Linked DNA regions of Arabidopsis thaliana. The protein of the gene in region 1 interacts with the protein of each later gene in a pairwise test. Each region holds a gene or a part of one and is shown in the gene's direction. Other genes may lie near its edges.

Region 1 (6,486 bases):
TTACTGTTGTAGCGTACCTACTACCTACAATACTTCTCATTTTCTGCTAACCTCGAGCGTATGCTGCACAAGTTTGTTCCTTAAACATCTGTTTCATCATATGCATTATAGATTGAGATCTTACACAGTTTGCTATTGAGTTCTAAAACATTAACTGAACACAATACTCTTACTTCCATAATCGTAGTTTGTGAATTGTGTGGCATAAGAAACCTCTTAAGTTTCAGGCAGCACAAAGATGTATCTTTAGTTGCAATCATCTAAGCGGCAGGTCTGGAATTACTGTATCAGTATGCAATGAAATGGCCAATTTATCACAAGCTTACCGCTCCAGTGACACTTGTTGATTACTTTTTATAGTTTACTCTCTGCTATTTTGGTGTAGTTAATACATTTCTTGATCTGGAATGCAGAGAGGTTTAGAAAGTAAAAGTTCAAAGACGATACATGCCAAGGATGAGGAAGAAGGATTAGAGTTAGAAGAAGGGGAAGAGGAAGAGGATGAGGATGAAGACGAACACGGTGAAACCCTATGTGGAGCATGTGGAGATAACTATGCTTCTGATGAATTCTGGATTTGCTGTGACATGTGCGAGAAATGGTTCCACGGGGAGTGTGTGAAGATCACTCCAGCTAGAGCGGAGCATATCAAGCATTACAAGTGCCCTACTTGCAGCAACAAAAGAGCACGACCCTAGATGTTTTATTTCCACTAATCTTAGCTACTATCTATTTTGTTTTATTTCCACTAGTCTTAGCTACTCTCTATTTATCCCCCAAACAGTACAATGCACTTAAAGTTTGTGTGTTGTTCAGATAAGTTATTTGTAGCATGTCCAGATTTGATTCCTCAACCCAATTTGTATAACTCAGAATGTGGTCTTTGATAAGATACGTTTAAAAGGCAAGATCAAGCTGTCACAAGGTCATGATCAAGCTGCAGAACACAATACAAATGGAAATTGAATTGCTTACACCTAAGCATCACAGAGAGTGTTATCAATTCTTCCAACTATATATAACCTAGAGTTCAGCTTCTTTGTTCCCGGAAACACCAAGAAGCTTGGCGAGTTCACCGCTCTCATACGCATCTACGGTATCTATAACCAGAAACAAAGATAAATCTATCGATCAGCAAATGTTGGCATAAGCAAAGACGTTTTGTTGAAGGAAAAGGAGTGTTAAGTATACCATCTGATCCTCCGAGATGTTTTCCGTTAATGAAGACTTGCGGTACTGTTCGCCTTCCAACAATCTCTCCAAGTGCAGTCTGGATGCTCCAACCATCTTCTGCAAGACCAAATTTTTACCAACCATTAGTCACAAATGAATCTTCTACATAGTGATCGGACAAAGTTTCAAATGACAGAAATGTCTGAGAGCTAAGAAACATTGTTGGATGATGAAGACATGATTCCCTTTAACCTTAAAACACACCTCTTTCATCAAGCTCGACAACATAAGGAACTTGATCCAGCTCTCTGAACACTGATTTAGCTTTCTTGCAGTAGCTGTTGACCAAACCACAAGGAAGCAAAGGAAAAGTAGAGATGAGTCATATACATAGGTACATGATCTCTCTACACAACTCAATTAAGGCCAAAGGAAAAGCAAAGAGAACAAATACTGAGAACTGAACCTGAATATATCTTAAACGAAAATCCATATTGATTTCAACCACCATTTGTAAACAGAGATAACAAAGTTGTCTCATAAAAATCCAAATCTAACGAATACAAGTTCATTGGGTTCAAGTTTTCACTCATATTTCAGATATTAAGATCTAAAAAACAAAATCGCAAATTGAAGTCACCCAAGATCCAATTTTTCTGCGAATCGGATAAAAAGTGATTAAACATGAGCAGAGAAAGAGACATACGGGCAGTAGGATTTGGAGAAAATGACGATCTTATGGGAAGAGATAGTCTTCTTAACAAAGTCGGCTTCTGGGGACGAAGCAGCAGAAGAAACCATAGAAATGAATGTAACTAGTGCGACGAGCAGCATTACCATGGAGATAGATCTAAACATTGTCATGGCTCCTTTCTTCTTCTTCTTCTTCTTCAGATGCCAATTGAAGACGATGACTTGCAGGATCGATACTGTGGAAAGTAGGTGTAGGTGTGTTGTGGCGGGTACGGTTTAACCCGGCCCATCTAAATAAGGGTCGTATTAAAGCCCAAAATCAAGGTTATTGTTTCAGCCCAACCACTATTACATAAATTGGGTGAACTTAACAAAAACAATTATTTTTTACTGGGCTTCAAAAACATAGAACATTTTTGGAGTATAAAGGATGATAATGATAATGACATGACCAAAGCTGGTATTAGACGTCTTAACACTATCTTGCGGGTTCAATTTGATTTCCGCTAAACTAAGAAAATCATACATCATCCCAAAACCTAAAATTAATATTTGTGTCACATCAATTTTGAATATATGAGTCAAATCATTTGTAAACATTCTTCACAAGTTATATCCTATATTTTTTATAAAAGAGAATTTCAAAAACAGAAACGCTCGTAAGAATTTTAAAATATTTCCACATCTAACCAATCCACTAACGAAGACAAATTAGCCATAATTTACTAGTCTTAATTAAAACAAAAAAGGGGATAAAAGTGTAAAAATGAGCAATTCAAAGGGCAGAGACAAAAACAAAAGATGTAGTAATGTTTTTTTTATTTACGAAACAATCTTTGTTGTTGTCTGTGTGTAGACTCAAAGAGTGTTGTGGGTGGCTGACCACGAATGTGAATGTCCAACTCGATCCACCTCCCTTCTCCTCATTGGACCCCACTTGACCAATCTCAATTCTCAAGCACCAACATTTTTTTTGTTTGAAAACAATACACAAATAATAATTAAGAAAAAAAAGTGTTAGAGAGAGAAAGACACACAGCTCAAAAGAGAACATTGTTGTTGCTCGAGGAGAGAGAAAAACAAAAAAAAAAGCCATTAGAGAACGTCGTCTGCAAAGAAAGAAGAAGGCCAAGTCTAGCTTTCTTTCATTCTGCTTCTTCAACAATCAATCAGCTTTCTTGAGAGAGATTAAAAAATTCATTCAGATTCAGCTTTTTGAAAAGAATTTTGGCTCCGTTAATTCCGATCTCCCGATTTCTCCGTGTCTGCTTTGAGCTGACTTCAAGGAGAATTTTTCTCAGACACACCAACTCGAGAGAATCTGCCCGATCTGACTCGTCTTGTTGCCTGACTCGCTGAGTCAGCTTTCTGCAAAATCGGTCTCTCTTGGATGAGTTAACTGGGAAAAAGAGAGAGGATCTATTGGAAAAAAAGGAGTAGCCATGGTAAAATCATAGATATCATCATCCTCGTCGTTTTATTCAATTGCTTATTGTATTTTCTCAAATGGGTTTATGTTGGATTTAAATCAATTAAACGGATTCATTTTTAACACTTGTCCGATTTGGTGTTCGTTAGTAGAGATATCTTTGTATGAGGTTTGCGTTTTGTTTTCGATCCCTAGTTCGTCTTCCCATTAACACGAGAGATTCTCAATCCAACTATAGTAGAAAAGTTGAATTTTGTTATTTTGGGGAACATTATACAGTGTTATTGAAAGGTAAGGGTCAAGAGTTCTATAACAAGTTGAAGTTGGACCATTTCAGTTATCTTAAATTTCATTTCGTGGACTTATCATTTCCTATTAACATTTCACTTAGCGGCTCTCACCATTTTGGATTACTTCTATTATTAGTAACGAGGTTATGTAAGCTTCTATGTTAGATTACTGTCCCTTTATATATATGTTTCATCAGGAAACTTCTTCAGGTGAGACCATTTTTTTTTTATATACCTAAGTTTTATTTGATATAAAGGCTGAAGATTTAGTTTCCAGAATGAAGGAAACTGAGGGAAATGCGCAGTGTTATGCTATCTTTGTTGTGTTTCTAAGTGAGTGTTGTCTCTAGATTATAGGCAGTGTTATTGTCCTGGTTTTGCGGGAAATTTTAATCTATAACATTAGTTACTTTCGGTTTAGGTTCGTATGTCTGGTGCCATCTATTTCAACTGCTTGAACTGATGATATTTGGTATTTGAAAGAGGAACTTATGTAACAGCTTGTGTGAGGTTATTAAAATCTTTGTACCTCACGTCTTCAATATTTGTATCTTTTGTAGGTTGGCCCAGTCAATATAATAGTTGGTTCTCATGTTTGGATTGAAGATCCTGGAGCGGCATGGATTGATGGTGAAGTTGTCAAAATTAATGGCGAAGAAGTTCATGCACATACCACAAATGGGAAGACCGTAAGTTGTCTATCCTCCTCCCATGCTTTTGCATGTAAATTTCCTTTTGAGAAATAATGTCACTGGAATGAATAGGGTGTTTCTGCTTAGGGTGTCTGTTTAACTTTGAACAAAATGTCACTAGTCCTCTAACCCCTTTCCCTGTGGATACCGTGTTACTCCTCTAACATATGAGTTTTGCATGACATTGACATCCCTATTTCATAATTATATTATACAATCATTGAAACCAGATTATGTATCAATCAATCAATCAAATTTAATTTCAGGTTGTGGCCAATATCGCAAACGTATTTCCAAAGGATACAGAGGCTCCCCCTGGGGGTGTTGATGACATGACAAAGCTCTCATATTTACATGAACCAGGTGTTTTGAATAACTTGGCCATGAGATATGAGTTGAACGAAATTTATGTAAGTTGTTATTCATTTTCTGCACTGATTACTTATGAAATCACTTACTGAGTTCCTAAGCAGTAGAAAACATTCCTAAATATTTCCGTTAAAATATGTTCGCAGACATATACTGGTAACATCTTGATTGCTGTAAATCCGTTTCAAAGGTTACCACATCTCTATGATACTCATATGATGGAGCAGTACAAAGGAGCAGGCTTTGGGGAACTAAGCCCCCATGTGTTTGCCATTGCAGAAGTTGCTTACAGGTTATTAATCCCAATCAATGATCCACTAGCAGAAATTCTCGTAGTCACTCTTTATTCATACATTTCTCATGCTAGTCTATTCTCTTTTGCTTCTCTGGGTAGGGCAATGATAAATGAGGGCAAGAGCAACTCAATTCTGGTAAGTGGGGAAAGTGGTGCTGGTAAGACTGAGACAACAAAGATGCTTATGCGCTACCTTGCTTACCTTGGTGGTCGATCCGGCGTTGAAGGAAGGACAGTGGAACAGCAAGTTCTGGAGGTGAGGCTTCAAAAAAATATGTTTCTTTTATCTTGGCTTTGAAGCTTGTCATGGAGAAGAGTCTAAGCCTTTACACAGATACTTTTAGTTACTGCATTGATATGTTTATAGAGAGGCTTGTAATGCTAGCCTGATTCACTATTTTGGTTTTATTGATGGTATACAGTCAAATCCAGTTCTTGAAGCTTTTGGCAACGCTAAAACTCTCAGGAATAACAACTCCAGGTACGTATGCGTATGTTCACTTAGAGGTTTTCCTTTGGATCTTTCTCTTGAAAAGTTGTCATTAGTTGCACAGTCAAAGTTGTTTTTGGCTCAAAGCTTCCTCAGTCACCACTTGTCACAATTTTGTTTTCTAACTATATAACAAACCCCAAGGCATCAACTGCACTGATGGTACATAAGAAAAATTAATCACATATAAACTATGCTAATCTCTTGGCCTTTTTTATCGGTAAAGTTAGAGAGTAATCAACTCAATAGTAATACTTTTGTACGTGATTGATTATTGTACTATAGAGTTATTTTAAGCTTCAAGGCAGATATCCTCATTGTAACTTTTATTTTCAATCAAAATGCAGTCGATTTGGAAAGTTTGTCGAGCTTCAGTTTGACAACTGTGGGAGAATATCTGGAGCAGCTGTGCGAACATATTTGTTGGAAAGGTCTCGAGTGTGTCAAATATCAGATCCTGAAAGAAATTACCACTGCTTTTACCTTTTATGTGCTGCCCCACCTGAGGTATTGGTGCTACACAATGATGCCAATATACCTTATTGTTAGGCGTTCTGCTTTAAATCACATGATTAAGTGGTTGTGGATTTCATTTATTTTCCCAATCTGTAGGAAAGAGAAAAGTTCAAGTTGGGAGATCCTAAGTTATTCCACTACCTAAATCAATCGAAGTGCTATAAACTGGATGGAGTGGATGACACCGAGGAGTATCTTGCTACCCGACGAGCTATGGATATTGTTGGCATCAGTGAAGAGGAACAGGTCAGTCTTCCATTTACTCCTTTTCCAACAAGAAATGATTTCTCTGGTAGAGCATCTTATTGACCATTCTGATAATTGCTATCAGGATGCAATATTTAGAGTTGTTGCTGCAATCCTTCATCTAGGTAATGTCAATTTTGCAAAAGGAAAAGAGATTGACTCCTCAGTTTTGAAGGATGAGAAATCAAGATATCATCTTGATGTATGTGCTGAACTTCTTAGGTATGTGCAACTTACTTGTTTAATCTCGATTTCTATTTTGTTTCCTTTTTACATCTTTGATCGTGGACTCA
Region 2 (6,274 bases), 1.4 Mb from region 1:
ACCTTAGAGTTTTTGTAGTGGCCGTTTTTTTACCAAAGCATGCTTAAGCTGTTATCTTTGAGTTTTTTTTTGGTAGTTTAGCCTCTTTTGAGGATGAAATAAAAGGACCGAAAACTTAGTTATATATGGTTGATACTTTGGTACTGCTACCAAAAAATGATTTCAGCTTCATAAAACTGTAATTATGAATGCATTTATAATTGCAGGCACTTCCCTACAGGAAAGAAGCGCTCATTGTGTCTCCATGGCCACAAAATTCACTTCCAAGGAATGTTGAATCAATAAAAAGATTTGAGAATTTACAAGCTCTGGTCAGTATGAATTTTTACCTTAATATATTCTGTAAACCTCAAACAGAACCATACTTAAAGGAATTAATATTTATACTATTAAAAGTTCAGAGCATGTTGACACCTTGCCTGTTAAATCACAGACTAGAGCAATTCGAAATGCACGAGCAGAGTATTCAGTGGAACCAGTAAAGCGTATATCTGCCTCAGTTGTTGGAAGTGCAGAGGTCATTGAATATATTTCGGTCAGTAACTTGTGGCTTCCTAACAGTTAAATTATCTTACGAATAAGGTTCATCAGTTTGCCTTGTGTTTCCTTATTAAAAACTGTGTTCTTGTGGCGGTGCAGAAAGAGAAGGAGGTATTAGCTCTTCTATCCAGGCTTGACTTAAACAACGTCCATTTTTCCAATGCCCCTCCTGGTATAATTATCTTTAATCCTTTTTTTCTCTTTTCTTTTCATTGTTTGCATCTTATCTCAATATTTACATTTTCGATGATTCCCTTGAATCATCATGGTCACAACAAAACTTCACATGGTTGGTCCTTCAGGTGATGCAAATCTATCAGTCCACCTTGTAGCCAGTGAAGGACTCGAGGCATATCTACCTCTTGCAGCCATGGTTGATATATCATCTGAAGTCCAACGCATTTCTAAACGTCTCTCCAAGATGCAAACTGAATATGACGCCCTCATAACTCGTCTCAGTTCACCAAAGGTATACCATAACCATCAAAAGAGTCTCTTAAACCCTTGCTAGAAATTGTTTTCGATAAGCTTATTAAACATGGTGCATTAGTTTTAGACTCTGCTTGTTTTACAACATTTTTAACGCTGAAATATGTAGTTTGTGGAGAAAGCTCCAGAAGAAGTGGTGAGAGGTGTAAAGGAGCAAGTAGAAGAATTAGAAGAGAAGATAAAGTTGACCAAAGCTAGGCTTGATTTTCTCAAGTCTACTACTTCTTTAGTGTCTCAGTAAATTCAGGTAGTTCTTATTCTCTCAAGTTCGGACCCGACCAATAGCGGCCCATGGACCATTTAATTGTGATCATTTGAGTCGATGAGACTACCTACTATTAATATTTCTGTTTTTTGAGGACCCAATTAGTTTGAAAATGCCCCCAAAAATGATCAATTGTCAACTATTTTACCAGTCCTATTGTCGGGGCCCATAATGCCTTTTAAGCAGAAAGTGGATTTTATTTTTATTTTATTTTGACAGCAGAAAGTGGATATATTATTAATTTATTATATTTGCTGGTTATGTTACAATTGTATTTACTATTATTTAATAGCCTCACCAACTAGGTAAATTTTGTACCAATAATCAGTAATCAGAACAACATAGCTCTTTTCACAAAAGTTTGTTTTTGTTCCAAAATTGAAAAATCCATAACCATTTTATTAGGTAAATTTATTAGGTGGTTGGGCGTATGGTTTCGATACAACTTGTGGTTTAGTGAGATGCAGTTTCGTTTGGCGAATATTAGAGAAAGCTAATGACAGGAAAAAAAAAAAAAATAGTAGTAAACCCATACCTAAAAGCAAAAGAAGCAATAAGAAGTACTGTACCTCGCTTTAACCTCCCTTTTCCTTTTTTATGTTTCTTTTGACAACCAAATCTTCATCATCACGCTCTCTCTTTTTGCCTTTAGCCAATTTCTCTCTCCAATTTCCTATTTTTTTTTTTAATCACATGAAAAATGATAACAAACCGTGAACCAAGTCACTAAACATAAATGGTTAAATGGAGTTTTTTTTATTATACAAAACACAACATTGCTGTTTAGAAAAAAATTACTCTACTTTCTCATTAACATTGAATTCTCAAAGGTTACGTACTACTATTATTTAAGCTAACCAAAAAATCGAGGTTAAGGTTGGAAAACTTATTCCGGTTTAGTTTATAGTTCCGGTTCAGATCTAAACCAACTTGAAACTAGACAAAGACAGCGTCGTTAGCGCATGTAACCCGACAACATCATTCTCACTCTCTCCTCTTCTCTCTCTCTCTCTCTCTCTCTCTTCTCTCAGTCGGAAGCAGAGGAGCCAAAATCAATGGCGGCCAACAATTTTGCGACGAAGCTAAGCAGAAACACCAATAGAATTACCGTAATCTTGGTCTACGCATTCCTTGAATGGCTTCTCATGTTCTTTATCTTCCTCAATTCCTTTTTCACTTACTTTATCGTCAAATTCGCCTCTTTCTTCGGTCTTAAGCAAGTATGTCTTCTCTGTCCGAAGCTAGATCGAATCTTCGAGCGAAAGCCAGAAAACAGATTCACTTACAAAGAGCTTTTATGTCAAAATCACATCGCCGAGCTCGCTAGTCTGAGTTTTTGCAGAACTCACGGGAAATTATCCGAATCGGCGAACTTATGCTCAGATTGCTCTAATCGCGAAGAAGAACAGAGCAACATTGGTTTAGGTTTTTGCACATGTTGTCAGAAGAGCTTAGCGGATAAACCATACCCTAATTACTTGCTTCTCAAGTCATCAATTTGGGGGAAAACTTTGGGTGACAGAGAAGATGGAGGATTGATCTTAGAGATGATCGATGATGATAAATTTGGAGATGGGTTTGAGATAGATAGAGAATCTTATCCCTTAGGGTTCTTCAGAGATAAAGCAGAAGAAGGAAAGAAGCAAGACCAGCAGCAAAATGGTGAAGTGATTTCAGATGTTGAGAGTTATGGATTAAGCTTGAGAGAAGTGTCTGAAGAGGATGGGTTAAGATCTATCATCAGCAATAATTCTCCTGGGAACGAAGCTAAATCAAGAGTTTCAGAGGATGAACAAAGGAATGATGACACAAGCAATGTTGCCACATATGGGGAAGATCAAATTTCAGGTAGAGTAAGAACATAAATCCAAAGTCTGAAACTTTATATGTGTTAGTTTTCTGGGTTTTATAGATTCCTCATTGTGATCAAACAACAGGGCGTGTAGAAGAAAAAGAAGAAGAAACAGGAGTAGCAGATTTGTTGTATGACCAGTTTGAGAGCAAGAATTTCACTGGTAAGCAAAAAGAATGACTCTTTTGTTATCGAAAATCTCTTCAAGCAGGCCTTGTGCACATATGCATACATCTTTGGTTTGGTTTATCTAACTTTGTGAAGCACTTTAAGTCTGAATATAGTTGTTTTCTTTCATAGGTAGCCAAATCGAAGAAGAAGAAGAAGATAGAGAAGAAACGACTAAGGAGCTTGATCCGGAAACTCCAACTTCAGTCAGTACTTTGTTTAACAAGAAACTTCATTTTCTTGCTAGAAATGAGTATGCAGCTGCTGAAGATGCAGGAGATGGGAATGTATTAGTGAGTGAGATGGACGGTGGCGATCCTTTAAGGACTATTGAAAGGTTGAGAGAGACAGTGAGAGCAGAACAAGAAGCACTGAGAGATTTATATGCAGAGCTGGAAGAAGAAAGAAGCGCGTCTGCAATATCGGCTAACCAGACAATGGCAATGATCACGAGGCTACAAGAAGAGAAAGCGAAAGTTCAGATGGAAGCGTTGCAGTATCAGAGAATGATGGAGGAACAAGCCGAGTATGATCAAGAAGCCTTGCAGCTATTGAATCATTTGATGGTGAAACGAGAGAAAGAGAAGGAACAACTCCAGAGAGAACTTGAGGTTTATCGGGCAAAGGTTTTGGAGTATGAATCGAAAGCTAAGAACAAGATCATCGTTGTGGAAAACGATTGTGAGGCTGATGATGATGATAAAGAGGAGGAGAATAGAGAAGAGGATAATTCTTCTGAGATGGATGTGGATTTGGAGAAGATAACATTAGATTGCGTACAACATATGAGCATGCTTGGTGAATCTTTATCAGAGTTTGAGGAAGAGAGGTTAGTGATTTTGGATCAGCTTAAGGTGTTAGAGGATAGGCTAGTAACAATGCAGGACAAGGAATCTGCTGAGGATCCGGGAGAATTCAGCAATAGTTATGAAGAAGCGAGTAATGGACATGGAGGACTAACAATGGCATCAATGGCAAAGAGTCTGCTACCTCTTCTAGACGCAGCAGAGAACGAATCAGAAGACGGGTCTCAAGGACTACCAGAATCAGATGAAAAGAACTTTGGTTCGGACAGTGAGAAACTGGAGATAATCAAACAAGTTGATAGTGTCTATGAGAGGTTACAGGAGCTGGAAACAGATGGAGAGTTTCTGAAAAACTGTATGAGTTCAGCGAAGAAAGGTGACAAAGGAACAGATATTCTTAAAGATATATTGCAACATCTCCGCGATCTCAGAACCATTGAACTCACTAACACAATTGAAAACCAGACGACACAGGAAGAGTGATGTTTATTCACAAGAATTATATATGAACTCTCTCTCACACCATTGTTCAGACAGATTTCAAGCCGGAATCAATGTCTTTGCACTGCTCAATGGAGGATCTGAGAATTACAGAAATTCTTAGATGTCTCTTGTTTGTGTTTTCTTTTTTTGTTTGGTGTAACAAAAGGTTTCACACACACTAGTCATTGAATTTGTATCTGTCAATGTAAATTCTGTGTTTCTTGTAGTTTATGAGAGTTTTCAGTTGGAAAATAATTGGCACATAAAACTGGTTCGTTCTGCAACTTTAGCTGGCCCATTCCTTACCAAGAAAATAAATTCTGGCCCATTTAGCCCAAACATTGAAGGCCCATTGGAAAGTCAGAACACGAGTTTCTTCGTTTGGTCTAAGTTTAATATCTTCTCAAGAGGATCGATCTTCTTCGTTTCCTTGATTTCCAAGCTTTAGATATTCTCGAACCACCGTATAAACAAACACCAAATTGCTTTAATTTGCATAAACAAACGTCATGATTATACTTTGGGCAGATAAAGGAATCATTAGTCTCATCTCATGTGTTCTTTACCAATTGTCACATGCCCATTTTACTTTTGCATTCCTAATAAATAAGATGTAAATAAATAAATAAAACCTAGTATATATCATGACAATAATAGTTTCTTTGCGATAATGATTGATGGTAATGAATTGTATAGTTTTATTTTGAAGTATATAATGAAGAATGTATAGTTTTACCAAACAAAATCATTGAATCATACCAAATATTTTTGCCAAAATGATTTATATATTTTATTTCTTATGAACGCATTTATATACCAACCGTATAATAATAAATAGGAAACACGGAAACGTTGACAAAAAAGAAAATGACGAACAATAAGAACCGTTGATCTTGTTAGAAGCCGCAATGATATGAACAAGAAGAAGAGAGTGACGGTAGTTTCGCTGTCAGTTTGATTGGACAAAAGAAGAGTGTGGGTCATTATCGTCATTTTACCAACCTTCACGTTCTCTTAATTTCTATTTTACCATTATTTAATGAAGCTAGATTATTAGTGGTTTCTTTGTTTTTATACATCGGATCGGTAGCAGAATAAATAAGCTTCTTTTTAACGAGTTAGTGAGGCCACTCTGGAGACAACCACACCTGCCATTATCTATATCATTCTCCGTTACTTCGATCCCACCGATTCGAATCATTCTCTCTCTCTTTCTTGATCTGAAAATTGAGTCCCAATTCCAGCAAAATTATCAATCGAATTTCTGATCAACTGAGCGCGACGGTGGTGGCGACGGTGGTGGCGACGGTGACAGCGATCGACGGTTATGGCTTCGAAGACTAAGTAAGACTCTTTACTCAGTTTCACTCTGTTTTAGTTTTATCCTATTTTCTCTGGGAAATTTTTTAGTAGATCGTAGTAGATCTGATCCAAGTTACTATTTTGAGAAATTGTCAATGATCGAGTTTTGGATCTACTAAATTCATTTCTACATTTGTTTTGTCCTAATTTTTTGCGGCAATTTATTTCTTTGTTCTGAGATCGACTGTTGTTATTGTCTTTTGTTGGAAACAGAACTAGTTTGTCCGAAACAACAACTACTACTACTCCTACCGGGAAATCATCTCCAGCAACTCCAAGAATAGCAAAAAGAACAGTTAATAAATCCGA

The links. Proteins that work in one complex are often made in the same cells at the same time.
Region 2: the proteins of XIK (region 1) and AT5G16720 interact in a two-hybrid assay, tested with the Arabidopsis thaliana proteins (one study listed by BioGRID).

The regions. Positions count from the first base shown.
Region 1 is NC_003076.8:6,934,203-6,940,688, reverse strand, and holds the start of XIK (myosin family protein with Dil), read left to right. Parts: upstream 1-2,858; 5' UTR 2,859-3,308; coding exon 3,309-3,311; intron 3,312-4,124; exon of another isoform or gene 4,125-4,145; coding exon 4,146-4,274; intron 4,275-4,543; coding exon 4,544-4,687; intron 4,688-4,792; coding exon 4,793-4,938; intron 4,939-5,040; coding exon 5,041-5,197; intron 5,198-5,363; coding exon 5,364-5,422; intron 5,423-5,778; coding exon 5,779-5,938; intron 5,939-6,043; coding exon 6,044-6,193; intron 6,194-6,278; coding exon 6,279-6,415; intron 6,416-6,486. Other genes in the region: AL5 (alfin-like 5), read left to right, coding at 414-698; AT5G20500 (Glutaredoxin family protein), read right to left, coding at 1,024-1,100, 1,192-1,290, 1,438-1,511, 1,880-2,037. UniProt on the Arabidopsis thaliana protein: Myosin heavy chain that is required for the cell cycle-regulated transport of various organelles and proteins for their segregation.
Region 2 is NC_003076.8:5,491,960-5,498,233, forward strand, and holds AT5G16720 (caldesmon-like protein (Protein of unknown function, DUF593)), read left to right. Parts: upstream 1-2,268; 5' UTR 2,269-2,349; coding exon 2,350-3,142; intron 3,143-3,231; coding exon 3,232-3,309; intron 3,310-3,446; coding exon 3,447-4,603; 3' UTR 4,604-4,887; downstream 4,888-6,274. Other genes in the region: EMB2247 (protein EMBRYO DEFECTIVE 2247), read left to right, coding at 207-311, 434-535, 640-712, 843-1,009, 1,139-1,270; AT5G16730 (weak chloroplast movement under blue light protein (DUF827)), read left to right, coding at 5,931-5,947, 6,179-6,274. UniProt on the Arabidopsis thaliana protein: Membrane-anchored myosin receptors that define a distinct, plant-specific transport vesicle compartment.